2 linked regions of the Schizosaccharomyces pombe genome follow. The protein of the gene in region 2 interacts with the protein of the main gene of each other region in a biochemical or structural test. Each region holds a gene or a part of one and is shown on either strand. Other genes may lie near its edges. The genes, in order: tif211 and hri2.

Evidence for each region.
Region 1: of the proteins of hri2 (region 2) and tif211, one has a biochemical effect on the other in vitro, tested with the Schizosaccharomyces pombe proteins (one study listed by BioGRID).

The regions. Positions count from the first base shown.
Region 1 is NC_003424.3:3,159,404-3,171,260, forward strand, and holds tif211 (translation initiation factor eIF2 alpha subunit), read left to right. Parts: upstream 1-7,024; 5' UTR 7,025-7,052; coding exon 7,053-7,122; exon of another isoform or gene 7,123-7,184; coding exon 7,185-7,355; exon of another isoform or gene 7,356-7,461; coding exon 7,462-8,141; 3' UTR 8,142-8,296; downstream 8,297-11,857. Other genes in the region: pdc201 (pyruvate decarboxylase), read left to right, coding at 827-2,539; ppt2 (holo-[acyl-carrier-protein] synthase new8), read right to left, coding at 2,916-3,040, 3,120-3,208, 3,267-3,451; exosome 3'-5' phosphorolytic exoribonuclease Rrp41, read left to right, coding at 3,818-3,820, 3,869-3,908, 4,020-4,705; png1 (chromatin modification-related protein), read right to left, coding at 8,788-9,639; class 1 histone deacetylase Hos2, read left to right, coding at 10,707-11,857. UniProt on the Schizosaccharomyces pombe protein: eIF-2 functions in the early steps of protein synthesis by forming a ternary complex with GTP and initiator tRNA. This complex binds to a 40S ribosomal subunit, followed by mRNA binding to form a 43S pre-initiation complex.
Region 2 is NC_003424.3:952,541-965,436, forward strand, and holds hri2 (eIF2 alpha kinase Hri2), read right to left. Parts: upstream 4,071-12,896; 5' UTR 3,935-4,070; coding exon 3,820-3,934; exon of another isoform or gene 3,733-3,819; coding exon 3,694-3,732; exon of another isoform or gene 3,645-3,693; coding exon 3,110-3,644; intron 3,046-3,109; coding exon 1,815-3,045; 3' UTR 1,739-1,814; downstream 1-1,738. Other genes in the region: GTPase mss1, read right to left, coding at 1-63; nuclear HMG-like acidic protein Mak16, read left to right, coding at 573-634, 688-1,534; sno1 (glutamine aminotransferase subunit), read right to left, coding at 5,106-5,810; poly(A)site selection protein Seb1, read left to right, coding at 7,521-7,877, 8,068-9,573; two-component GAP Byr4, read right to left, coding at 9,897-11,894. UniProt on the Schizosaccharomyces pombe protein: Mediates down-regulation of protein synthesis in response to stress conditions by the phosphorylation of the alpha subunit of eIF-2 (tif211) on 'Ser-52'. Protein synthesis is inhibited at the level of initiation. Activity is inhibited in the presence of heme.

The sequences.
Region 1 (11,857 bases), 2.2 Mb from region 2:
ACGTAAGCGACATTCGCAATCCCTTCCATCTTAATTGTCATTTACTTACGTATCAGGGAAGCGCATGACAACAAAGTCTAAAGGCTTTGTATGCACTCTTCTTACCCGAGAGTGGAGAGGTTCGCACATTGAATTTAGTAATTGGTCGGATACTTGTCATTGTTGTCCGAATATGTTTTTGTAGCCTGAACTTTAATGCAAGCTAATTTAATCAAAGTGCAATGGTATTCTTGCATGGAAATAGGAAGCTGATCAAGTAAGCCGAAGTTTTGCCTCTGTGATTTTACTTGACCAAATCGGTTGTGCGTATTGATACACCGATCAAAGATGAATCATGCTGCAAAGTCAATGCTGTAGGCCTTGTCACACAGATTATAAAAGGAGAGGCGGTTGCTGTCATTTCATTCGTCTTTAAAACAATTTTTCACGTTTCATACATATTTTTATTATTCTTTTTAGTTAAGAAAGAAACAAACTTAAAACCTCTCTCTCATCTATATCAAAGGAATTAATTCATCTTACTGTGCTCTGTATATTTCCTTTGTTTATCACATACTATACTATACTATACTATACTATACTATACTATACTTTTTTTTTTTTTTTTTTAATAAACCCAAATTTGTTTGTTTGACTTGCTTTTGAGATCCTTGTATCATTCCTCCTCTTTCTTTGTTGAGCTTTTTCATTTCCTTTGACCAATCTTTTCTCTTCTTTTCACCTCTATTCTCTTCTCTTCTCCTTCTCTTTTTCATTCTATCCTTTTGCTCTTCTTACTTGCTTGCTTGTCTTGTTTAAGTAGCGTGTTTTGTTGTACTCCTGTATCATGTCTTCCGAAAAAGTCCTCGTTGGTGAATACCTTTTCACCCGTTTGCTGCAATTGGGCATCAAATCCATCCTCGGTGTACCCGGCGACTTTAACTTGGCTTTGCTCGATTTGATTGAGAAAGTGGGCGACGAAACGTTTCGCTGGGTCGGTAATGAAAACGAGCTAAACGGTGCTTATGCCGCTGATGCTTATGCTCGTGTTAAGGGCATTTCTGCCATCGTCACCACTTTTGGCGTCGGTGAACTTTCCGCACTCAACGGTTTCGCCGGCGCATACTCTGAACGTATTCCTGTCGTTCACATTGTCGGTGTTCCCAACACCAAGGCTCAAGCCACTCGTCCCCTTCTTCATCACACACTGGGAAATGGTGACTTTAAAGTCTTCCAGCGTATGTCCTCCGAGTTGTCTGCCGATGTCGCCTTCCTGGATAGCGGTGACTCTGCCGGTCGTCTCATCGACAACCTGTTGGAAACGTGCGTTCGCACTTCAAGACCCGTTTATCTGGCCGTTCCTTCGGACGCCGGCTACTTCTACACGGATGCTTCTCCCTTGAAGACTCCATTGGTTTTCCCTGTTCCCGAAAACAACAAGGAGATTGAGCACGAGGTGGTTTCTGAGATTCTCGAATTGATCGAAAAATCCAAGAACCCTTCTATCCTCGTTGACGCTTGTGTTTCCCGCTTCCACATTCAACAGGAAACCCAAGACTTTATTGATGCGACCCATTTCCCCACTTACGTTACTCCCATGGGTAAGACTGCGATCAATGAGTCATCCCCCTACTTTGATGGCGTCTACATTGGCTCCTTGACCGAGCCTTCCATCAAAGAACGTGCCGAATCTACTGACTTGCTTCTCATCATCGGTGGTCTTCGCTCCGATTTCAACTCGGGCACCTTTACTTATGCTACCCCTGCATCTCAAACCATCGAATTTCATTCCGACTACACCAAAATTCGTTCTGGCGTTTACGAGGGCATTTCGATGAAACATTTGTTGCCCAAGCTCACCGCTGCCATTGACAAAAAGTCCGTTCAGGCAAAGGCCCGTCCTGTTCACTTTGAGCCACCAAAGGCTGTTGCTGCTGAGGGTTACGCCGAAGGAACCATTACCCACAAATGGTTCTGGCCTACGTTTGCCTCTTTTCTTCGTGAGTCCGATGTAGTGACTACCGAGACAGGTACCTCCAACTTTGGTATTTTGGATTGCATTTTCCCCAAAGGCTGCCAAAATCTCTCACAGGTATTATGGGGCTCAATTGGTTGGTCGGTTGGCGCTATGTTTGGTGCTACGTTGGGCATCAAGGATTCCGATGCTCCTCACCGTCGTTCCATATTGATTGTTGGTGACGGTTCCCTTCATTTAACTGTTCAGGAAATTTCTGCTACCATCCGTAACGGTCTCACCCCTATCATATTTGTAATTAACAATAAGGGATATACAATTGAACGTCTCATTCACGGTCTTCACGCTGTTTACAACGACATCAACACTGAATGGGACTATCAAAACCTTCTTAAAGGCTATGGTGCCAAAAATTCTCGCTCCTATAACATTCATTCAGAAAAGGAGCTCCTCGATCTCTTTAAAGATGAGGAATTTGGAAAAGCTGATGTAATTCAGCTCGTTGAAGTTCATATGCCTGTCTTGGATGCTCCTCGTGTTTTGATTGAGCAAGCCAAACTTACCGCTTCTCTTAACAAGCAGTAAAAAATATGGCTATGGCTATATTATTATGATATGTTTTTGATTTTGAAATTTACAATATTTCTCAAATGATGCTTTTGTTAGGTTAGTTAATTTGCAACAGTCGTTTTTTTTTTCTACGTCAATCCATATTTCTTTCATAAAATGAATGAATATATTGAAGTTTATGCAGCGGTTGTTTTTTTGTTGGTAATTAGGATTCATTGAATGATTTATTTTTTTTTTCTTTTTGCATCCCCTTACTCCAAGGTAGACTTGTCCAGATAATTCCCTGTTAGTATAAACTCAATAACATAAAAAAAGGTCATTGAGACGACTGGTAATGAGTAGCAGCAATAGAATCACTAAATAATATAGTACCTTCAATTTGGTCTCTCGTCTATGTCTTTGGCATAGATGGTAGATACAAAGCATTCGCTACAACCAAATCTTCCTCATGGCTTACAGATACCATTACGGGAGAAAGCGGAAATCGGGGATCATGAATAACAACGGAAGGGTAGCCTATATTAATCATAACAAAGTCAGTAACTTTACAAACCTTTTATTTTTAAACATTGAACATGGAAAACAAATGACACACCTGTGGGAGTTCGAACATACTCCATCATAGACATGTAAACTCGAAAATTCGGTTGTAAAGCTTTGAAAACAGCTTCTTTGACGCACCATCTACATAGGAAAATAACCGTTAAAACTATGAAACGATCATAAATATAGACAAGCATACCTAACAGCAAGCCATTTAGCCTGTTCGCTTAAACGAGGCAGCGAGGAATTGCTTTTAATCAGGTTGTACTTTTTAATTTCATTTTCACACAGACATTTTTTTAAAAAGTTCTTTTCCCATTCAGGAGAGCGTTGAATTAATCTTGAGATTCTTGAAATTTTTAAAATGTCAATCCCTAAACCCATTTCGATTTTTGATTCTTTATAACATGAACAGGAAATATTAATGGTAATGCAAGAAGAAAAAAAGAAATCTATGGCTTCAATAATTTTGAACGCTTAATTAATAATATATTGTAAACTAAATTTCCGACACACTAAACGAGATATAAAAATCTTTATCCTTAAATAAAATGAAATAAATTTATCTAATTCATTATCGATTAGTGCCCCCAAAGACATCAAATCCAATTCGTTTCGTAGCGAATGCAGTAGCAGGAGTTTTTACTGTAACAAGTGTACTCTCTACTCACTCCCAGTTACAAAAGTGTTCAAAGGGAACCAAAAATTATATATTTGTAATCCTTTCAATCACGAAAAAAAAAATTTCATATGGTAAGAGATAGAATTTATCTCTAGATAATACGAGTACTAACCATATAGTCACACTTTGAGATTTTATCCCTTGAAGGTCTTCGAAATGGTAAGCCAATTCATTTATGGGAAATGAAAAAGAAACTTAAAATTTACATTCAAACATCTATGATTCTTATAAAATGTATTAATCTTTCTGTGTGCTAATATTTGTTGCAAGATGGTCGACGGTGGGATGAGATGAGAAACTTTCAGTGTCGTATTGGAATCGAGCCTTCGGAGAATGGGTCGGCGTTTATTGAATTGGGTAACACAAAGGTCTTGTGTATAGTCGATGGACCCTCGGAGCCTGTAATAAAGTCCAAAGCTAGAGCTGACAGAACATTTGTGAATGTCGAAATAAACATTGCTTCTTTCAGCACAATAGATGTGAAAAAGAGATTTAAATCGGATAGGAGAATTCAATTGCAATGTTTAGCTTTACAAAATACATTTGAGGAGATAATTCAAACAGAATTATATCCCAGAAGTCAAATTTCTGTCTACTTGCATGTTTTACAAGATGATGGTGCAGTAATGGCATCTTGTATCAACGCTACTACTCTTGCCTTAATAGATGCTGGTATACCAGTTAAAGATTTCGTTTGCTGTAGTACAGCTGGGATTGTTGAGTCTGATATGCTGTTGGATTTAAACTCACTAGAGGAGTCAGCTCTTTCATGGTTGACGGTTGCTGTTTTGGGGAACATAAAAAAGGTCGTATATATGCAGCTGGAAACTAGTATGCATTTGGATTATTTGGAGTCAGTAATGAATATGGCGATCGCTGGATCAGAACATATTTATAACACGATGCAAAGTGCGGTTCGACAAAGCGCTAAACCGGCACTTGCAAGTCTCAGCTAATGACAAAATTTTGGGGAAAAAAACTATTAAAAATAAATGAACGGGAAGATTAATTTTTATAATTATACATTGATAAGTCATCACAATTGCAACTTTACTTAGCTCTACGATATTCTGACAAAACGTATACAGCTTTACTCATTTTATTCCTAGTACAACGTTTTTGTCCTTATCCTTGGTATTTCTGTATAAGTATCAAAAAAATCACCTCGAATATCGTATATAATCTTTTAATGATTGCGTCCCTTTTTTGTCTAAAGGGGCTTATATTACAAAAAATATGGATTGTACTGTAGATATTATGCATCAAAAAAGGCTCATTAATTAGTTGAAGATTTTATGAATAAATTCGGTTATTCAGATCTCACTTATTATAATAAATTGATTATTTTTTGGGGGAGGCTTTCATAAACAACCGGGAATTTTTCATTCAACAGATATTACAGATTGATGTGGATTAAAAAGAAAATATATATATATATATATATTTTTTTAGATTTTTAGATATAAGAAACCTAAGGTTTATTATGAGAATCGTAAAACTGTTTTTCGAGATAAATGTTAAATTTGTTAATGTTAAAATATGAAAAACACAGTATTTTTATTTTATATATTTCTATAATGGTGCAAACTAACAGTAGCTCTTGTAGCTCAGTGGTAGAGCGCCTGTCTCGTAAACAGGAGGTCCAGTGTTCGAGTCACTGCCGGAGCAGTTTTTATATTTTTCGATCACAGATCGGCCTTTCTAATAAGCATTGAAAGCTACAAAATGAGTATACTAAGATACTTATTAATGCATATTCTTGTAAATAGGGTTTCTCACAATTCATCGAATATACATACTCAAATTCTGCCGTTACTAGTTGATTGCTGATTTCAAGGACATCTTGATTAATAAAATGGAAGAATCGCTGTAGGATCAACAGTTAATATTACCTTCGTTTTAAAAATGAGGAATCTCGTGCCGTTCAACCAAAGTAAAAATGAAACTTCGTCAAACTGCATGACTAAGTTTCCCCTTTCTGTTTTTGATGCTTTCATAGCACTGTCAAGAATACCGTTGCGCAAATATCTGGCAATTATATACATACCAGTTCATCGCGGCCTGATTTAAGTTTTGTACGTTTTATTGTTTTCAATTGTTTTTACTAGACAGCATACTGAAATATGCCTTCAACAGTTTTTAATTTTATCAGTTTGATTGAATACATCAGTTTCCCTAAATGCTTTCTATCTTTGCCTTCAAAAACTTATTGCTTATACATGTTATAAATATACTATTTAAACGTCTACGGCCATACCTAGGCGAAAACACCAGTTCCCGTCCGATCACTGCAGTTAAGCGTCTGAGGGCCTCGTTAGTACTATGGTTGGAGACAACATGGGAATCCGGGGTGCTGTAGGCTCATCTTTTTTTGTTGATGATTTGCTTCTTTTTATATTAACATATTTGGAAAATACTTGTAATTAATTTAAAGCGGCTTTTCTCATTCTAGGTACTAGATGAGTACTTTCGTTACAGCGCAATTCTTGTATTGACCAGGTACGAATCGGAATGGAGGACATCCCACAACAGACAAAAAATGAAATACAATTCACAAATTAGTACCACATCTTGTTCATTTTCATGAACAAGTGTTAAAGAACTTTTATATTTATATAAAAGACATATTCAACTGGTTGTCTTTACTAAGTTTAGATGCATTCTTGATTCAATGTATCTACGAGAAGCGCATTGAAAAAAAAAAGTTTGTTTGTAATAGTTTATATTCAAAGACTGTTGAAAACACATTTCCTCAACTATTCTTGAGTTTGGCATTGATAACCTTTTGAATTTCATTAATACGAGTTCTCACTTTTTTTTGTAATCCAAAAAACGGTGATGGATGGTTTGTAAGGCAATGGATTAACAACTTTTCAATAAAATAATTCTTTACTCTAGTCAAAGGAACAAGTGGAATCAATTAGACAGAGTCTTCTATTCGTAAACTTTCCAATTGTAATTTTCGTTTGAGGGAAAAGAAAGTTTAAGTATATTATCTGTAATTCTAAACGATGTAGTAAACTAGTAGTTTATTAAACACTTTAGTTTATTAAATACTTTACTGCTAGTTTATTCAGCGTTCGGCTGGTAAGCCAGTTATCACCGATCGTTATGTGCTTTTAGATACTAATAAATCTTCTTTAAGGAAACTTTTTAAATATAAAGAATAATTATTGATAAACAGTTAAGTTAAAATGACCAATGTCTGGGTTCTGAAAAGAAGCAAAATTGGCCCCTAGAGTTTAGAAGTGGGTAGTCCACACAAATTTTTACTCAGAACCAAACACTCAACACTTTGCAAAAATGTCGACGACAAGCTGCAGAATGTACGAGAATCGCTTCCCGGAAGTGGATGAACTCGTTGTTGTCAACGGTATGTAAAAAATGCACATGTTGTCTGTCTAAAGAAACGGTAATGGCTAATATTTCCAATAGTTCGTCAAATCCAGGAGATGGGCGCTTATGTAAAATTGTTGGAATACGATAATATTGAAGGAATGGTTTTGCTCTCTGAGCTTTCCAGACGTCGTATTCGTTCAGTACAAAAGCATATTCGCGTTGGTCGTAATGAAGTCGTCGTGGTCTTACGTGTCGACAAGGAAAAAGGTAAGAATTTATTAGTAGTTTTTTTTTTTTTTTTTTTTAAAAAAAAGAAAAACAAAAGGGGAAAAAAGGTTTATAAGTTGTTAGGAATGTACTAACCAGGATTAAGGATACATCGATCTTTCAAAGCGCCGTGTTAGCCCTGAGGATGTTGTAAAGTGCGAAGAACGCTTCAACAAATCTAAGGCTGTTCATTCCATTATGCGCCATATTGCTGAGAAGCATAATGTTCCTTTGGAGACCATGTATACCACAATTGGATGGCCATTATACCGCAAATATGGACATGCTTATGACGCCTTTAAGCTTGCTATTAGTAACCCAGATCATGTCTTTGAGGGTTTAGAACCTCCCAAATCGGGTGTTATTAATGATTTGTTGGCTCAAATCTCTCGTCGTCTGACGCCTCAGCCCATTAAAATTCGTGCTGACGTTGAAGTCACTTGCTTTGGCTACGAAGGTATTAACGCTATCAAGGCCGCTTTGAAGGCTGCTGAAGATGTTCATACCGAGGAGGTTCCTATCAAAGTTAAACTTGTTGCTCCTCCACTTTACGTCCTTTTGACAAACGCATTAGATAAGTCATTGGGTCTCAAAAAGCTAGAAGAGGCAATTGGTGCAATCGAAAAATCCATTACAGCATCCAATGGTACCTGTACTGTTAAAATGAAACCCAAGGCGGTTAGTGAAACTGACGAATTGGAGCTTGCCGATTTGATGAAAAAATTTGAAAAGGAAAATGCTGAAATCTCTGGTGATGAAGAGGATGACCAAAGCGGTTCTGAGTAAATGGATTAGACACTAGCTAATATACGCTTTTTCATTGTGAATTTTTGGCACTTTAGTGTTCCATTATAATCTGGGGTTCTTTTTATTTTGTACTATACACTTTATCAAATTTATCTAGTGATATCTATGGTTAAAAAATTTCCTCTTCTTTTTTCCGAATGCGTAAGAGTTCTTTTATATGTTACGAGATAATATGAAAACGCTAGACGCTGCATCTTGTTCCTTTGTATGTACAATAATAAGTTCAGTTCCAATATAGTAGAAATAATGGACAACAAATGCAATTACAAATAATAAAGTTACAAAAGACTTATTACTGTGGTTAGCTACGGCGTGTAATATCTGCTTTGGGGAGGATTGGGGAAATTAAAGAACTGAATTTCTTAATGTACAAGTAATCTGGTACTTATTATGTGAGTGAAAAACAAACAAGGACAAGAATAAGATAAAAAGGATTCGTAATCGTGAAGATATGATTAATAAATTAACCATTTTGCAAATCACATATACACAGCTTGAACAACGTATAATCAAATATAGTAAGTTCGGAACAGGTGAAAAATTAGCGGATATTAAAGCCCAAAAAAAAACAACAATGCTTGCATTCAATAATGGGAAGACCAACAGACTTTAGATTGGGGAAAAATTACTTAGCATCAACAAGCTTCTGATCCCTACAAGCTTCGCAATACCATGTACCTTCAGGAGGAGCTTTAAGACCAACACACTCCATATGGAACCATTCACGCTCACAATTAGCATTGTCACAAGCGACCATTTGCCCATATGATCCTTGCTGGCAAAAACAATACTTTTCATTATCCTCTTCCATATCTTCTTCTGAGACCATTTCATTCGGCGTTGTGGAATCTGCCTTAGTTTCTAACTGGGTGGTTGCAGTGGCATTCGAAACCTTCTGACCGCGAGTTGAACCAGAATCTGCCAACGAAGCCGTATAAGGAGAGTGATAGACTCCATTTTGAATTGCACCCCTGGTAGTTGCTGAAGTACGACGGCGACCAGCTGTTGAGGCTCCCGACCGAGAAGGGGCCGGTGTTTGACGAGCACTTGAGGCACCACTTGGACTGTATCCACCATACGGTGAAGAAGCATAGTAGTCAGGAGCATTTAACAATTCCGCAGCTGTAAATCCATGACCGGCCTTTGCAAGTCTATCATCCAATCGCTTTATGTGCCGTGTAAGTCCCAATCTGGCACGATCCGCCAACTGGACTTTCTCGTTCTGTATATTAATTGCCTTTTGATACTCCTCGCGAATCGTCGAATACAAAGCATCTTCTTTTGGATGTGGGGTCAAGGAACCATGTGATTTAATGTATGACTGAATCTGAGAATCAGCTGCTTGAATTCTCTTCCAGATGTCATGTACAGCAACTTCCTTCACACTAATTTCGTCAAAGATGTGTTTTGTTTCGTTGGGAACATTATCCAACGTTTGCAAATACTCACTTAGTATGTAAGCTGTATCATCTGCCATTATTCTCAAATTGAAAATTATAGATACGTTCTAATTTCCGCTTTATGCAAAAATTATTATTATGATTTCAAATTCCAAAAGAAAGGGAGATTTGAGTCTTTTAAAGAGATAGGGAAAGTTGATATTCCACTAATATTTTCGATACTTCAATAACTAATGAATAAAAGATACTATGACTTTATCTTTTAAAGTAGAGGAATGTGACAATAAATGTACAAACGAGAAGGACAAAGACACTAATTGAAATAATATATATGAACCTATGGCTCGTTTTTGTGTCGTTTAAAGATTATTTTTACACTCTCTTAAGCTGCTGAAAATTTTTCCGGTTGTTTATAGTAGCCCACATTTGGTGTTGAGTTCCGCCACTCCATATAATGTAAACACAGTACTGGAAGGCAAAGAGGGCGAAATAAAAACATAAGAATTCACGCAAACCAAATCACTTTGAAGATAAATCTTTTCAACGTATGTATGATATCTAAGTTGCCAAATTGTCTATGAATTCACATGCTAAAGGTTACCATCTGTTTAAGTAATAACGATACGTTATTAATGTGTTAGTTCATATATGGAAGCATAACATACTAAACTACACCTAAGTTGGTAGCTTCCTTCTGTGTTCACTGAGATATACATTTTTAAGTTATAAGAATGAACCAGCACTAGCAATTCTTCAAAAAATTGTAAATCCTATTTGTTCTTGTGTTTATGGGCTTCAAAGAGTTTGAATTAACGCTTTGTTGAAGTTGTACATTTTATCTAATAAGGTATCGGGTTTAGCGACCTTTTGCTACGTATTCTGCGCTCGACGTAAAAATAAAGTATTTACAGTTCGTGTTGCTGTTTATTATTTGGATTGAATTCTTTTCTATAAAAAAATCTGGGTTGTTTTTCGATTTATATTAATTTGGCATTGGTCAATAACTTTCATTTCTCTTGTTTCTTCTGAAACAGTTATTAATTTGTTTCTTAATTTTATTTATTCTTTTCTTGTTCTTTCTTTAGAAAAGATATTTTCATTTAATTTGTCTCGCGGTTTTTTTTAGTATAATAGTCTGTATATCATGGATACTCCTGAGACATCCACACCTTATGAACAAGTTGAAAAGGGGTCTTTTTTTAGCTTTCGACCTCAAAAAAAGCGTGTCACATATCACTTAGATGAACAGGTGGGAAACTACCACTATGGTGACAAACATCCAATGAAGCCCCATCGAATTACCATTACAAATCATTTAGTGATGGGTTATGGGTTGCATAACAAAATGAGTGTATTCAGCCCCCGGATGGCAACTTTTGGTGAAATGTCAGAATTTCATAGGGAGGATTATTTGGATTTCCTTAAGCGCGTTACTCCTGATAATGCTGAACAATTTGCTGATAAGTTCCAACAATTCAATATTGGTGATGACTGTCCGGTCTTTGACGGCACTTATGAATTTTCTCAAAGGTCGGCAGGCGCTAGTTTGGATGCTTCTCGGAAGTTAGTGCAAGGTCAAACAGACATTGCTATCAATTGGAGCGGTGGTCTCCATCATGCAAAGCGTGGTGAGGCTAGTGGATTCTGCTATGTTAATGATATTGTTCTAGCAATTTTGAACATGCTACGGTTTTTTCCTCGCGTTTTGTATATCGATATCGATATTCATCATGGAGATGGTGTGCAGCAAGCATTCTATGAATCTGACCGCGTGTTGACGGTTTCTTTTCACAAGTATAATGGTGATTTTTTTCCTGCAACTGGTAATTTTGATGAAAATGGCGTGAAAGGAGGGAAATATTTTGCTTTAAACGTTCCTTTGGAAGATGGTATTGGTGATGAACAGTACACTAGTCTTTTCAAATCCATAATTGAACCAACTATCAATACTTTTCAACCTTCTGCAATTGTCCTTCAGTGTGGTGCTGATTCGCTTGGTTATGATCGGCTCGGCGTGTTCAATCTGAGCATCCATGCACATGGGGAATGTGTTAGATTTACCCGTTCATTCAATATACCCATGCTTGTAGTTGGAGGTGGTGGTTATACTCTTAGAAATGTTGCTAGAGCGTGGTGTTATGAAACTTCCATATGTGTAAACGAACAAATACCTTCAGAATTACCTCGTGAAACTTTGTATTACGAATTTTTCGCACCAGATTACACCCTCCATCCGCGATTAACCACGAAGATAGAAAATAAAAATACACCGAAAGCTCTTGAAGATCTTCGAAT
Region 2 (12,896 bases):
ATGAACGAATCTTCTAAAGCATGCTTGAAAAGTATTTAAAAAGACTCGATTTAATATTCGCATGCTTTTTTATCTTCCAACATTAGTTTAACAGTAGTAAATTGATTAATTATCTCAAACAAGACTGAAGATTTGACGTTATTAGTTGCTTTGGTAGTTAACTTCAAAATTAAGCAGTAAGCTTCTTAGCTTATTGCAAAATTATACATACGGAAGCAATTATCTAATCAATCAATCAACAGTTTAAAAATCAAGTATAAATGATCGTAAATTGCAATTGAAGAATTTTTAGGAGATTAGCAAGCCAATATAGTTAATGAAAAGTATCAATGGTTATTAATAAATCATCGAAACTAAAGAAGGATTAATCCCAAAAACGAACGCTACACCAAACAACTAAACAACTGTAATTTAATGTTGGATATCTGCAGTCTACTTGATCCATGCATTTGCACAACATTACTTACAATTTTTCCCGTTAATAATATTTACCGCATTCTCTTAAAATTCGTTATATGGTTGATTCTTGAATTTGTTAATTGGATTTTCTTTACCAAGCGCCATACTCGAAAATGCAGCAAGACGAGGTGATTTGGCAGGTTGTAGGTCATGAATTTTGTTCATATAGGATCAAGTAAGTTGATTTCGCACTTTTAGTATTACATTATAACCTAACACAATTTTTAGAGGGGAGGCACAAAATTTTTGCAGAAATGAATACAATGTCACTGGGTTGTGCAATAGACAATCATGTCCATTGGCTAACTCCAGATATGCCACAGTACGGGAGGATAATGGAAAGCTGTATCTTTACATGAAAACTATAGAACGTGCGCATTTTCCATCGAAACTTTGGCAACGGATAAAGTTATCAAAAAATTACGCTAAAGCGTTGGAGCAAATTGATCAACAGTTATTGTATTGGCCTGGTCGTCAAATCCACCGCTGTAAGCAAAGACTAACCCGCCTCACTCAGTACCTATTGAAGGCTAGACGATTGGCATTAAAACACCAACCAGCATTAATTCCCATTAAGCCTAAACAAGCGCATCGTGAAGCTTCTCGTGAAAGAAAAGCACTTATTGCCGCCAAATTAGAGAAAAATATTGAAAAAGAATTGGTTAAGCGACTTAAAAGTGGTGTTTATGGTGATCAACCTTTGAATGTTAATGAAGAAATATGGAACAAGGTACTAGCCGCACGTGAGGGTTTAATTGATGAAGGCGAGGAAGAGGAGGAACGAGAAGAAGCTGAATTAGAATTTGTTAGTGATGATGAAGATGAAGAAGAAATCTCTGATTTGGAAGATTGGCTCGGCTCAGATCAGTCCATGGAAACTTCAGAGTCTGAAGAGGAGGAAAGCTCAGAGTCTGAATCCGATGAGGATGAGGATGAGGATAACAAAGGAAAAATCAGGAAACGTAAGACCGACGATGCAAAGAAATCCAGGAAGAAGCGCGCTCCTCATATTCATATTGAGTATGAGCAAGAACGTGAAAATGAAAAAATACCTGCTGTTCAACATTCTTGGTAAAAAAAAAAAAAAGGTTTTGAATGTTATCTTTTTTTAAGGGATTCTGTTCAATAGTTTTTACTTTGTCGTTTTTATTTTGGATTATTTAGGTGTATAGATATGAATGGTTTTAATAATAAGGAATTTATCGGAGCTTTTACAAACAAAATTAGCTTTAATGTATCCTTGCTTTATTTTATTACTTGTGGCATAAAAGCGTTAGATATAAATAATGCTATACTTTCGGGAAACTGAACAAATTGACTGGAAATTTAAGTATTAAAAAGTGAAGATTTTTAGTTTAGCGGGTTTCAAGATGTTGAATCCTGGATCGTAGAACAGCAATTTGTTCACGCAGTCGCTGATTTTCATCCATTATAAGTTTCATTTGAGTTTCAACATCCAAGTGGTTTGTTGATACAATATTTGATATATTTGGCATTGAGACTTGGTTAGGTAATAATAGTCCACAATTGAGAACTTCCAGAAGTGATGGTCGCTTCGTGGGGTCTTTGGCTGTCATCCATAAAATTAAACTTGACTCACAAATATGTTGCTCAACGAACTCTTCAGGAAGATTTCCTCGACGAAGGTCTTGAAGTTTTGTTGCACGTTCCATATTTGTTTGAAACGGGTGCAACAGCTCAAACAAAACCATTCCTAATGAGAATGTATCGATTTTTTTTGTAAATTTATTATGCTGAGAAGACATAGCATCTAGCAATTCCGGAGCCGCGTAAGTTGCAGTGCCTATATGCTGAGTCTCATCTTGCAGATTAGGCAAGTGGTTTCGTTCAAGAAAAGAAAGTGCGGTTTCTGTGTTTTTTTTATTTTCAACAACGAGTCCAAAATCACCAATCTTAGGAGTAATGTATTCTTTCAAATCGTTTTTATCATTATAACTAATTAAAGGAACAGACCCACGGTCCTCCGGTAAAGATTTAGCAAGAAATATATTGCTGGGTTTGATATCTCGATGGATCAAGTTCACACCTTCATGTACGTACATAACGCCATTAATTATCATTCGGAATAAATCCGTATGCAGTTGTATTTGTTCCTTACATAGTGGGAATGAAAGAAAATGGTTTCTTCTTATTAGATAGGACTCTAGATCATCAAAGCAAAGCTGCATTTGAATATAAATAATAAAAGAATGAGTGGGTCCAGTTTTAGATATGTGCATGCTACTAGAATAGTCGTCATCCAAGATGGTGGTATTATTAAAAGTAGAAACATTAGAGTCATGAAGATTACGAGGGCTTTCTAAATTCTCAAAGTTAGAAGATTCAGTAGTGCTTGAGTAGCTAGATTTTCTGGAAGTTGAAATGATCGACTCGGTGCCAGGATCTTCTGCAAATAGTATATCGTCTGTAAGGGCAGAAGATTCTGTTGGTTCAAAAATTATGGAGTCCATTCCGTTGACATCACAATAGCTTGAGGTTCCAAGTACTCTACTAGAATTTTTAGACATTACTATCGGCATTTGTGTTGCTTCTGTGGTGCTTTCTACCCAGCTCGAAAAGTATCGACTAAGCCGATGTTAGAAATAATAAAAGGAAGGCGATGAAAACAAGTCCTTCTGATGATGCTTACATAACATTTGGATGATCCATTTTTGCTAGACATTTGATTTCTCTAAATATTTTGGAATAAGACATTTGCTGAAATGTTGAATTAATTTTCTTCATTGCGTATTCAGCACCGTCAATCTTATTTCGTACGTGATATACTGATCCAAATCCACCTCTTCCTAGTAAAGAATACTCCTCAAAGTCCTCTATGTAACGAGAGTTTCTTGACTGTAACCAACTCTCAAGCGTAAGATCACGGAATCGGAACTGTCTTACATTTAATCCATCTACAGAGAATTTCGAAAGAGCAGTTTCTTGTGGAAATTTTTCAAATACATTGGTGGGATCGGGTAGTGCTAAAAGTCGCTCTTCAGCATCGTCGAGACGGATTGCCTCACGCGCTTGCAGAATCAAATGGTGTAAAGCATCCTGATAATTGGATCTAACGGCTGCAAGTTCTTCAATATATTCTTCTTCCAAAATACCTATTTTTTGAAGAGTATGGCAAATTAAAGCAAAAAGTCGTTTGGACTTGGCAGGATTATTGTCATACAGTTCTTTAATAAGTAAGCAAGTAGTTCACATGAAACGAGAGCTTAGACATACGACAAAAATTTTCCAACAAAGCAGTTAAAAGCATCCGCCCTAATAAATACATTAGCTTAGGTTGTCAATGACCAATATTTTTAGTTCGTCAACTGCTTTATACACACAGTTGTAATTAATTCCTACCATGTTTATTGACAGACAAATCCCTTGATTGTCTTTCATTTTTTAAACTTATTGCATTTGTTGTCTCTGAGTAATTCCCATCTTCCGCTGACTTGTGAGCGTTGAAAAATCGCATATTTGTGATGATGGAAGTGAAAAAGGCATTAAGAAAACAACCAGTTTTTTTCTGCACTTATCAAAATATTTGTCAAAATCCCGTTAATCGCAACCAGCTAATCTCGTATCTTACAATGGAAGGTTAGAGAATTGTTAATGGAAACTTTGTGGTTGACTTTTCAGATCATGAAAGTAACATTAGGAGAATTTAACTCTACAGCTAAAATACATGGTTTCTACTGACTATGGTCGTGTTAACGATAAGTATGTATTTGTACTGTTAAAAATTCAGATAAGTAATTATAATCAGTCTTCTTTTTTGAACTTCTTCATTCGTGAAAAAGCAAGTCAATTTTTAAATTAGCATCGTAAACAGTAAGCCAAAGATACATTTATAATCTAAATCAAAGCAAAAAGAATCCAGCTCGAAACTGAATTTATAAAACCAATTTGTTTAAAGAATTGATATATTTTATTACCAGATAAATGTTGTGGACAGAAATCATTTGAATTATTAATTCATTCATTAGTTTTACCTCAAGATAGTAAGAAGGAAAATTGAAGAGAACGAGCACTTCAAGCTAACTATTAAATTTAATTACATTAGCCAGCATGATGTGAGGAAAAAACATTTTGATTTGACACAATTTAATTTATCATTTCACATTCATAAACAATTCTTTAATTTTTATATTAAATTATACTAAGTAGTAAAGAGCACATGGAATCCGTTGTGGTCCAACGGCTAGGATTCGTCGCTTTCACCGACGCGGTCGGGGTTCGACTCCCCGCAACGGAGTTTTTTATTTTTTCTTAATTTTGATTTTTGATTTATCACTTACTGAATAATTCCAGTGTACTAAAATTTAATCTTCGGTTAAATTTTCTATGGAATGTGTATCTATATTACCCAAAATAATGCGCATTTTTTATAAACATTTGATTAACTGATAATGTATTCAAACTATATGCTTTTAGCAATGGAAATGACAGCAACTTATGCAGCGCAAATGAACCTAGAAAAGATTGAAAGCAAATAACAATTAACACTTAAAATCTAAAAAATTAATCTAAAAGGATTTATTATTTAAAACTTAATGACTGACTAAAATAATAAGTGAGGCATTTACCTGTCTCAACTCTTTTTGTGGGATTATACAACATGCAACTATAGGCATGAATTTAAAAAACTAATCCTTTTTCTCCTTTAAAGGTAAAACACGCTCTTTTACCCACCATTCATGCCATCTATTATCGGCGGTCAGCTCGGGGTGAAACGATGTACCTAAAAAGGGACCTTGCTCAACCGCAACAATCTCTTTGTTGCCTTCATGAACAATAGTAGCTAAAACATTAATATCATCAGACAGGATTGTCGAAGCGACTGGAGCACGAATAAAAGTGGCCGAAAAGGAATGTAAAGGTTCAGTGGCTTCAAATTGCATTGACTCTGTAACTGTAATATCAGTTGTAAAAGACATAGTTTGAGGTCCAAAATAATTACGAGTCACTTCAATATCCATGGCGCGCAACAAATAAGGATCTGGGAACTTTCCACCTCGAGACTTTTTCGACAGAAGAATCATACCAGCACACGTTCCCCAAATAGGAAGTCCTTGATCAACCAAGTGCTCCAAACGATCACGAAGCTTCTCATCAATGTTGATTAATTTGCCAATGGTAGTAGACTCACCTCCTGGGATAATTAAGCCATCAATATTTTCGCAATCCTTAGCAGTTTTAACAGGAAAAGAAATTACTCCATCAATGGAATTCATTATATTAATGTGTTCAATAAATGCTCCTTGGAGAGCTAAAACTCCAATTCTAGCCTTCAACTGGGATTCGTCCACAGCATTGGTTTTAAGACTCCCGAACATGGATGCAGAAGACATTTTTTTAAAGTTTTTAATCGACTAGAAACGAATAAAAAAACAAAGAAAGTTTGAAAGAACTAAGAAAAACAAACGAAAGATATCCTGAAACCTATTGAACAAGTAGATGCTGATGAAGATTGATACACCCCTTACTAATCAGCAATGAATCACTCAAACCGTTGAAGATGGGTATTAAAGGATTGTGTTGTCTATGTTTATACCTTAAAAAAATTAAATCAAACGTAACTAAGAGATCCACTTTAAGTAGTATACAATGTGTCTCAGTTCATTAAGGCGGTGGTGGCTATAGGATAATAACCCAATCAGACATACCGGGGGTCATTATATAAGTCTGGCAATGTGGAAGCGAAAAATTATCGCCAGAATCAAAGATGGCAATAAAGATAGAATTGGTGGAGCAACCTTGAATCATATCGCAAATGATTACGCTCCTTAATAAGCAATATCATTTGGTACACCCATCTTCATAAGCATAACAAAGGAGACCTTGCACATTGCTAGACTCAGTTTACAAAATCAAATGCGATACAGTATATCACATGCTTTGACTTCAGTCATTTCACTAAAAATTGACTATCTAGACTACCATAAAACAGTCAAATGCTTTCTATATTATCCACAAATTAGGATATCATCAAGCATTAATGAAAAAAAATGCTAATGTCAACACAACTCTACAGTTCACAATTGCTTACAGCATTAACTACTTACCTCACTTTTATTCTCAAAACCCCCAACCACTAATAACTACTTACTGAATTTTAAAGATAAAATTATTTAATTACCTTTCCCACTGTGTTAAAAGTTCAATACGCATAGCATCAGCAAGTCTTCAACCTCTCTTTCAGTGGGTTTAGCAACTGAAAAAATTTAAATAAACTGCTTACTTTCAACGATAACAATATTATCTTCACCACACACTATCAATGTACGAAGTTAAATATTTTCAAACCTCACATCCTAAACCATCCAATGTTGTCAAATTCATGCGTCACAAATCTGTCAACAGAAGAAGATTCGGCGTCGCTTGCCAGTAGTGCAATAGCAAGAACACCAGTGTCGGAAAGCATAGCAAGCCAGAGGCTTTCCAACTCAAACCAAAAACAAGATTAATCGGAAACACCTCAGTGAGGTGATTTCAGCGATTAAACTGAAAAGAACAGATACTACACTTGATCTAAGCCAAAAGGCAAAGAGAGAATACCGAACCAAATGCACGAGTACCTGTATATATAGTAAATCTCATAAATAAACCCGAACCCTGAGATTACTTCGCAGTCCCAATTTTGTGGTCGAGGCTGACAAACTTGTTACCAGAAGGATCATGGGCATGAAATTAACAAAAACGCTACTCATTATTATTATTTTTTTTTACACTAAAAATTTTCATACATTTTTTAAAACAATATGATATATATTTTTTTTTACAAAGTGTGAAACTTTGGAAATTTTTAGCATCTCTTTAAGCACTTTCCTTACCCTTCCGTAATACCAGCTTTATAACCAGCATCACCTACTTCACCACTTAACCGTAACCATAACACAAAAAGTATTTAAGAACAGGGTGACTTCCTTTTTTAACGTCTTTCAAGCACGTGTAAAAAACTAATATAAGAAAAAAAGTAGTAAAATTCTTATAAAGGAAACAGGGTAGTTTTCTAGTTTTGAAAAGTTTTTTTTTTTTTTCATTGTCGTTTTTCTTGTGATATGTCGGGAATCGCTGAATTCGATGGTATTTTAGATTCCCTTGAACATTCCAAGACAGGAATCTCGGGATCAAAAATTTTGAAATTGACTAACTTGTCGATGGAAAATGTTTCAGAGAATGCGCAATTTGTTGCTAGTGTGTATAAGTATGCGAAGCGTGCTCCCGTCACCCATAAATTAGGAGCTTTGTATATTCTAGACTCAATCGTTCGTAGCTTTCAGGACGGTGCTAAAAAGAATAATGAATCTTTTGAAAATCCCGTTGATGCGTCTTTTAGTGGCGGCTGGTGCAAAGCTGCTGAAATAACTGATAGTTTGGTCGCAGATGCTATACAGCATGCGCCATCTGCTCATTTGGTATGTGTAGCTGAAGTTTTTCAAGGTTGACTACGGATAAGATCCCGTATGGATAATCGTATGCTCTCTCTGCTTCTGTATCAGCGAGACACTGTATGAGAGAGGTATTTTTTCCTTGTAATACAGTATCATTCTCTTTGAGAAGTCTTTTAACATTATTGGACTAATTTGTAACTAACTAAGCATGTAGCCTAAAATATTAAAGCTTTGTGATATTTGGGAGAAGGCTTCAACATTTCCTCCCGAGAAGCTAGAATCGCTTCGTTCAAAGCTGAAAGATGCAATGGCAAGTACGGAACCGGTTAGTGTAGATTCTGCTGCTGCTCCATCACAGTCTACTAATCCCGAGGGGAATGGTGGTTCTGTTGGTAGTCAAGCAGCCGCCCCCACTTCTCGTCCTGTCGAAAACGATGCTGCTTCTATTCTAGAGGCATTGGCTGCTTTCGCTCAAAAGGCGCCCGTCCCTAGTGCTGCCGAAGAATCAGTTAGCACTCCACCGCAGCCTGCCGTCGCACCATCCGTTTCTGCTGTCGTCCCTAACCTACCTGTTCATCCAGCTACCGCCATTAATGCACAGTCTCAGTCAGGCAATCCATTATCAAACCCTCTATTCCAACCTTCAAATGTACCACAGTCTATTCCCTCTGGTCCCATGGGGATGAAGACAGGATCGGTCAATGATACCCAGAGTCAACAGATCACTCTCATGAATGTATTGGCTTCTCAGAATGTACCACCTGCACAAATCGATAGCATCATGAAAGCTGCTTTTCCCAACTATAACGCTCCATTCCAGCCGGCTGGTGTCGGCAGTGTTCCTTTGCCAGCTCCTACCTCTTCCCAATCCTTAAGACTCGGCTCCTTACATCGTTCTCGTAGCCCTAGTCCTCGTAGTGGTCGCCCTCGTCGTAGCCCTAGTCCTTCTCATTTATCCATTCCTTCTACTTTGCCTCCTGCAGATGGTGTGCCAAAACCTACCCCTGATGGATTTCCTCGCCGATTTGAGCGTGACCCAACCATTCCACCTGATTCTATTAAGGTATACAGCCGTACTCTTTTCCTTGGTGGTATTACTCGTTCTGTGCGAGAACCTGTTCTTCGATCTATGTTTGAACGATTTGGGTCTGTACAAAGTTTAATTTTAAATCATAATTACAGACACGGGTTCTTGAAAATGTTTCGTCGTGATGCTGCAGAGAAAGCTCAAGTAGCGATGGAAAATGTCCCTTTTGCTGATACTACTATTCGTACTAAATGGGGTGTAGGATTTGGACCTCGAGAGTGCTCTGACTTTTCCACAGGAATCAGCGTTATCCCAATCCGTTTGTTGACGGATGCCGATCGTACCTGGCTTGTAACTGCAGAATATGGCGGCACGGGTGGCCTTCCGATTACTCCTGGTATCGCTTTGGATGAACCTGATATTGAAATTGGATTAGGAATAAGTTCTAAGGCAATTAGTAAAAGAGGAAAAGATTTTGCTATGCGTCGTGATGAGCGATTCCGGGGTCGTAAACCATATAGGGGAGGTCCACCCATTCACCATGGTGAAAGGCATTTTGATTCAGGAAATGACTGGCATGGTAATCCTAGTACCGTTCCTCCCCCTACCAACCCATATAATCCCGGCTATCCATATATGGATCCTAATTACTCTTCTGGGTATGTCTCACAACCTCCTTGGCAACCCCAATAATGTGTTAAAAGACGCTTACAAGTATTATAATGATGGCAAAAATGGTTTCTATATTACAGACGGTATTTAAGGGTATAATGTATTCGGTCCAAATTTAATTGATTATTTTCTTTGTATTGTCTTGTTCAAACAATCTAGTTTGTCTGGGTGTCACATTAGTATTACATTTGTATCATTGTTGTACATCTTATACATCTATTTGCAAACAAAATGAAAAATCTTCGAAGTGTATTAAGCTATGTACAAAAAGATCAAATCTGCGATAAACAAAAGCATTCGTATAATTATATATAAACATTCGCAAGGTAAAGACAAAACCTTGTTTATTGTTCGGCATTAAGTATATTATAAAGCTCCCATAGTCGTGACCTGTCATCGTTTTTAAATGAAAAAAACCAGCCATCAATTCTCTTTCGCCATTGAATATCTTCGCTAAATTGCTTTTTTTCAAACTCTGGGCCGACATCGTATATTTCACTCATATCTGGAAAATTGATTATTGAGTTTATGCTACCATTAAAGCTACCTGAATTTTCGTTCAAGTACTGCGAGGTGGAGTCTGTATCCTCAAGATCATCAAACCCGCTAAAGGGATCTTCCGCTTCTTGACCAGAAATCGAATTATCAATCCATCGTAACCTTGTAGGGTCATATACCATATTTCCGACAACCTGGATTCCTTTTTTTGTAGAAATGTTGGAAATTAATGCTGGACGGCTAGGCGAGATAGGGGTATCAAAATCTCTAATTGCATAATCGTTTCCTTCCCAGCAATGTTTTGTGGGATTATATCGCATTTTTCCAACAATTTTTGGGGTTCTAGGGGAATTTAAATTTTGTATTAAAGTAGGTGCCTTTTTATGGTGTCTGCGTTTTTCTTTGACGCTCAATTGATCATTGGAAAGCGATTCTTTTGTTAACTCTTTAGAAGGGGCGGCATGAGTTTTGTGTTGCCTTTGAGACCGAATATGCTCATTTTTTGCTGAATTAGTTATATTATTTAAATTATTCTCATGTTTCGAAGTAGATCTAGGGGTAGTATGTGAATGCCATTCTTGAGTTGAACCTGCGTGTTTACTTTTAGGCGTTCCGGAAACTTTGGTAGTTTGCTTTTTTCTCAATTTAAGCTCAAATTCATAATCAACTGGTAATTCATCTAAAGTATCAAGTTCTGTACCATCTCCGTAAGTCTTGCAATTTTTAGGCTTTGTTCTGTATTTAGAATTACTTGCAACTGTCTTCAAAGCGTCCAAATCCATCAAACCCATCGAATTTTTCGAATGATAGATCTTCAAATTCGAGGGAGTCCATGTGGAGCTTATAGAAGAATTTCCCTTCACGGGAGAAGAATGTTTACTCGAAGCCTTCAACGTTTCTGGATAATGAGAAGACGTATCCCTTTTCGAAAGTGTTTTCGAAGAATACTTTAGGTTTGGGTTATCAGAATGAGGGTTTTCATTAGCGAGTGAAGGAAATATGTCTTTACAAAGGGGATAATATTTTGCATCCTGATGCACATTAGGTTGATAAGAAATTGTGGAGGAAATATAAGGATGCTTTTGGTTGATGGTATTTGGAGATCGAATCTTTTTCCGAAAGATCGATTCTGTTTCGTTATTAAAGTCAATATCAAAATCATCCCAAAAGCCGTCGTCATTATGCGCAGAGGAAGGCGTACGAAGCGAAGACTGTTCTACGCTGGAAAAGGAAGCTTTTGGATCCATCCTATTTTGTTTTCTGTGCAAAATACTGTTTAGGTCGGTATCTGGGTCTATTTCAAAATCATCTTCAAATGAAGAAAAGCCTTCCGATTCACAATAAGGGGAGTCCGAAACACTGGGATACCGAGCATCATTTTCACTTGAAAGATATGTTTTCTTAAGAGTATCACTAGAGAATGGAATTGGAGGTCTTTGAGAAGCAGTTTCAGATGCTCTAATAGTATTGAATTCATCAACATCGGCATCTTGGTATTTATTGGGACGAAGTGTATTAAACTCATTATTACCTTCTTCACCTTCTTCATCGAACGAAAAATCATCTTCATAGCCTTCTACATTGGAAGAAATTCGGTTCTTGTTGGAAGACAGTTCATGGTTTAAATTATGTACTTGTTGATTCCATTGTTCGACACGAGAATGAGCGCTTGGTACATCAGAAATTGAAAGGCTATTAAGACGACTAATAGAGTCGTCAAACGAGAACCCATCATCCACACTCGTACTAGCACTAGTGGTAGCTATGGATTGAGTAAATAGGCTAGCATTATCGACGTCGGAAGCAAAATCAGGATCATCGTCCCAGCATTCAACTTCAGTCATTCAATCAAAATAAACGTATACTAAAACGGCTTTGCTAAGAAAAGAAATTGGATGCAAAACGCATAGAATGATTACTAACCGTATTCACCCAAAACTGAAAACCCTAAATTTGATTTTCAAAGAAAAAGAAAGTGAGAGAGAAAAAGGATGGTCACTAATTTTGCAAAGAAGTAACCACTGTAAATATTTACGCTTTCAAACCCAGCTTCGAGAAGTAATAAGTTATGAACAGCAATTCAAAAGGACTTCAGGAATATGATTATGATGATGCTTTCAGAGATACAATGAAATTTTGTTTTGTATAGAAAGCAAAAAAAAGAATTTAACTTATTTCAATGACAAAATCAAGGAATCTGGGTTAGCGGTATATTGTTGAAAGAGACGGAGGTTGAGCTAGAGGTATAAGTGTAAACACCAACTTGATCAATTTACGTACTTTGGTTTCAGTACTTTACGAGAAATCAATTTTTAATAAGGTGAAAAATAAAGCATCTACTATTTGCTTGTGTAAACCTAAAAAAAAAATAGTTTTTTTTGGTATCTTTCAGTCATATTTATTTTTGCTAGATTAATCATAGTAAAATACTTAACCATATGTGATTGCCAAAATGCATAGCTGCACCTCACCTTAAAAAAATCTAGGTAATCTAATTAGCATGCAACTACGAGTTAATGTTTTTTAAAAAGTAGATAAATTACAACGAAGGTTAGTAGGTGAAGCAATAAATAGTATGTTTAATCGTCACTCGTATTAGCAAATTCATTCGTCTTAGAATTTTATTTTCCTCCACGAAAATATATATATTTTTCTTTGAACGTTTAAATTATTATAAACAATTGCTTTCTCTGAAATTTATGCCCATTTACAATTTAATTCTGTTTATGGAATCTACATATTCGTTCAAGTATATATGAAATACATTTTAAGGAATCTTTTTTTATTAGATTCTTCGTATAATTTCTAAAATACATACTATTTTCATATACGAGTTTAGATAAATT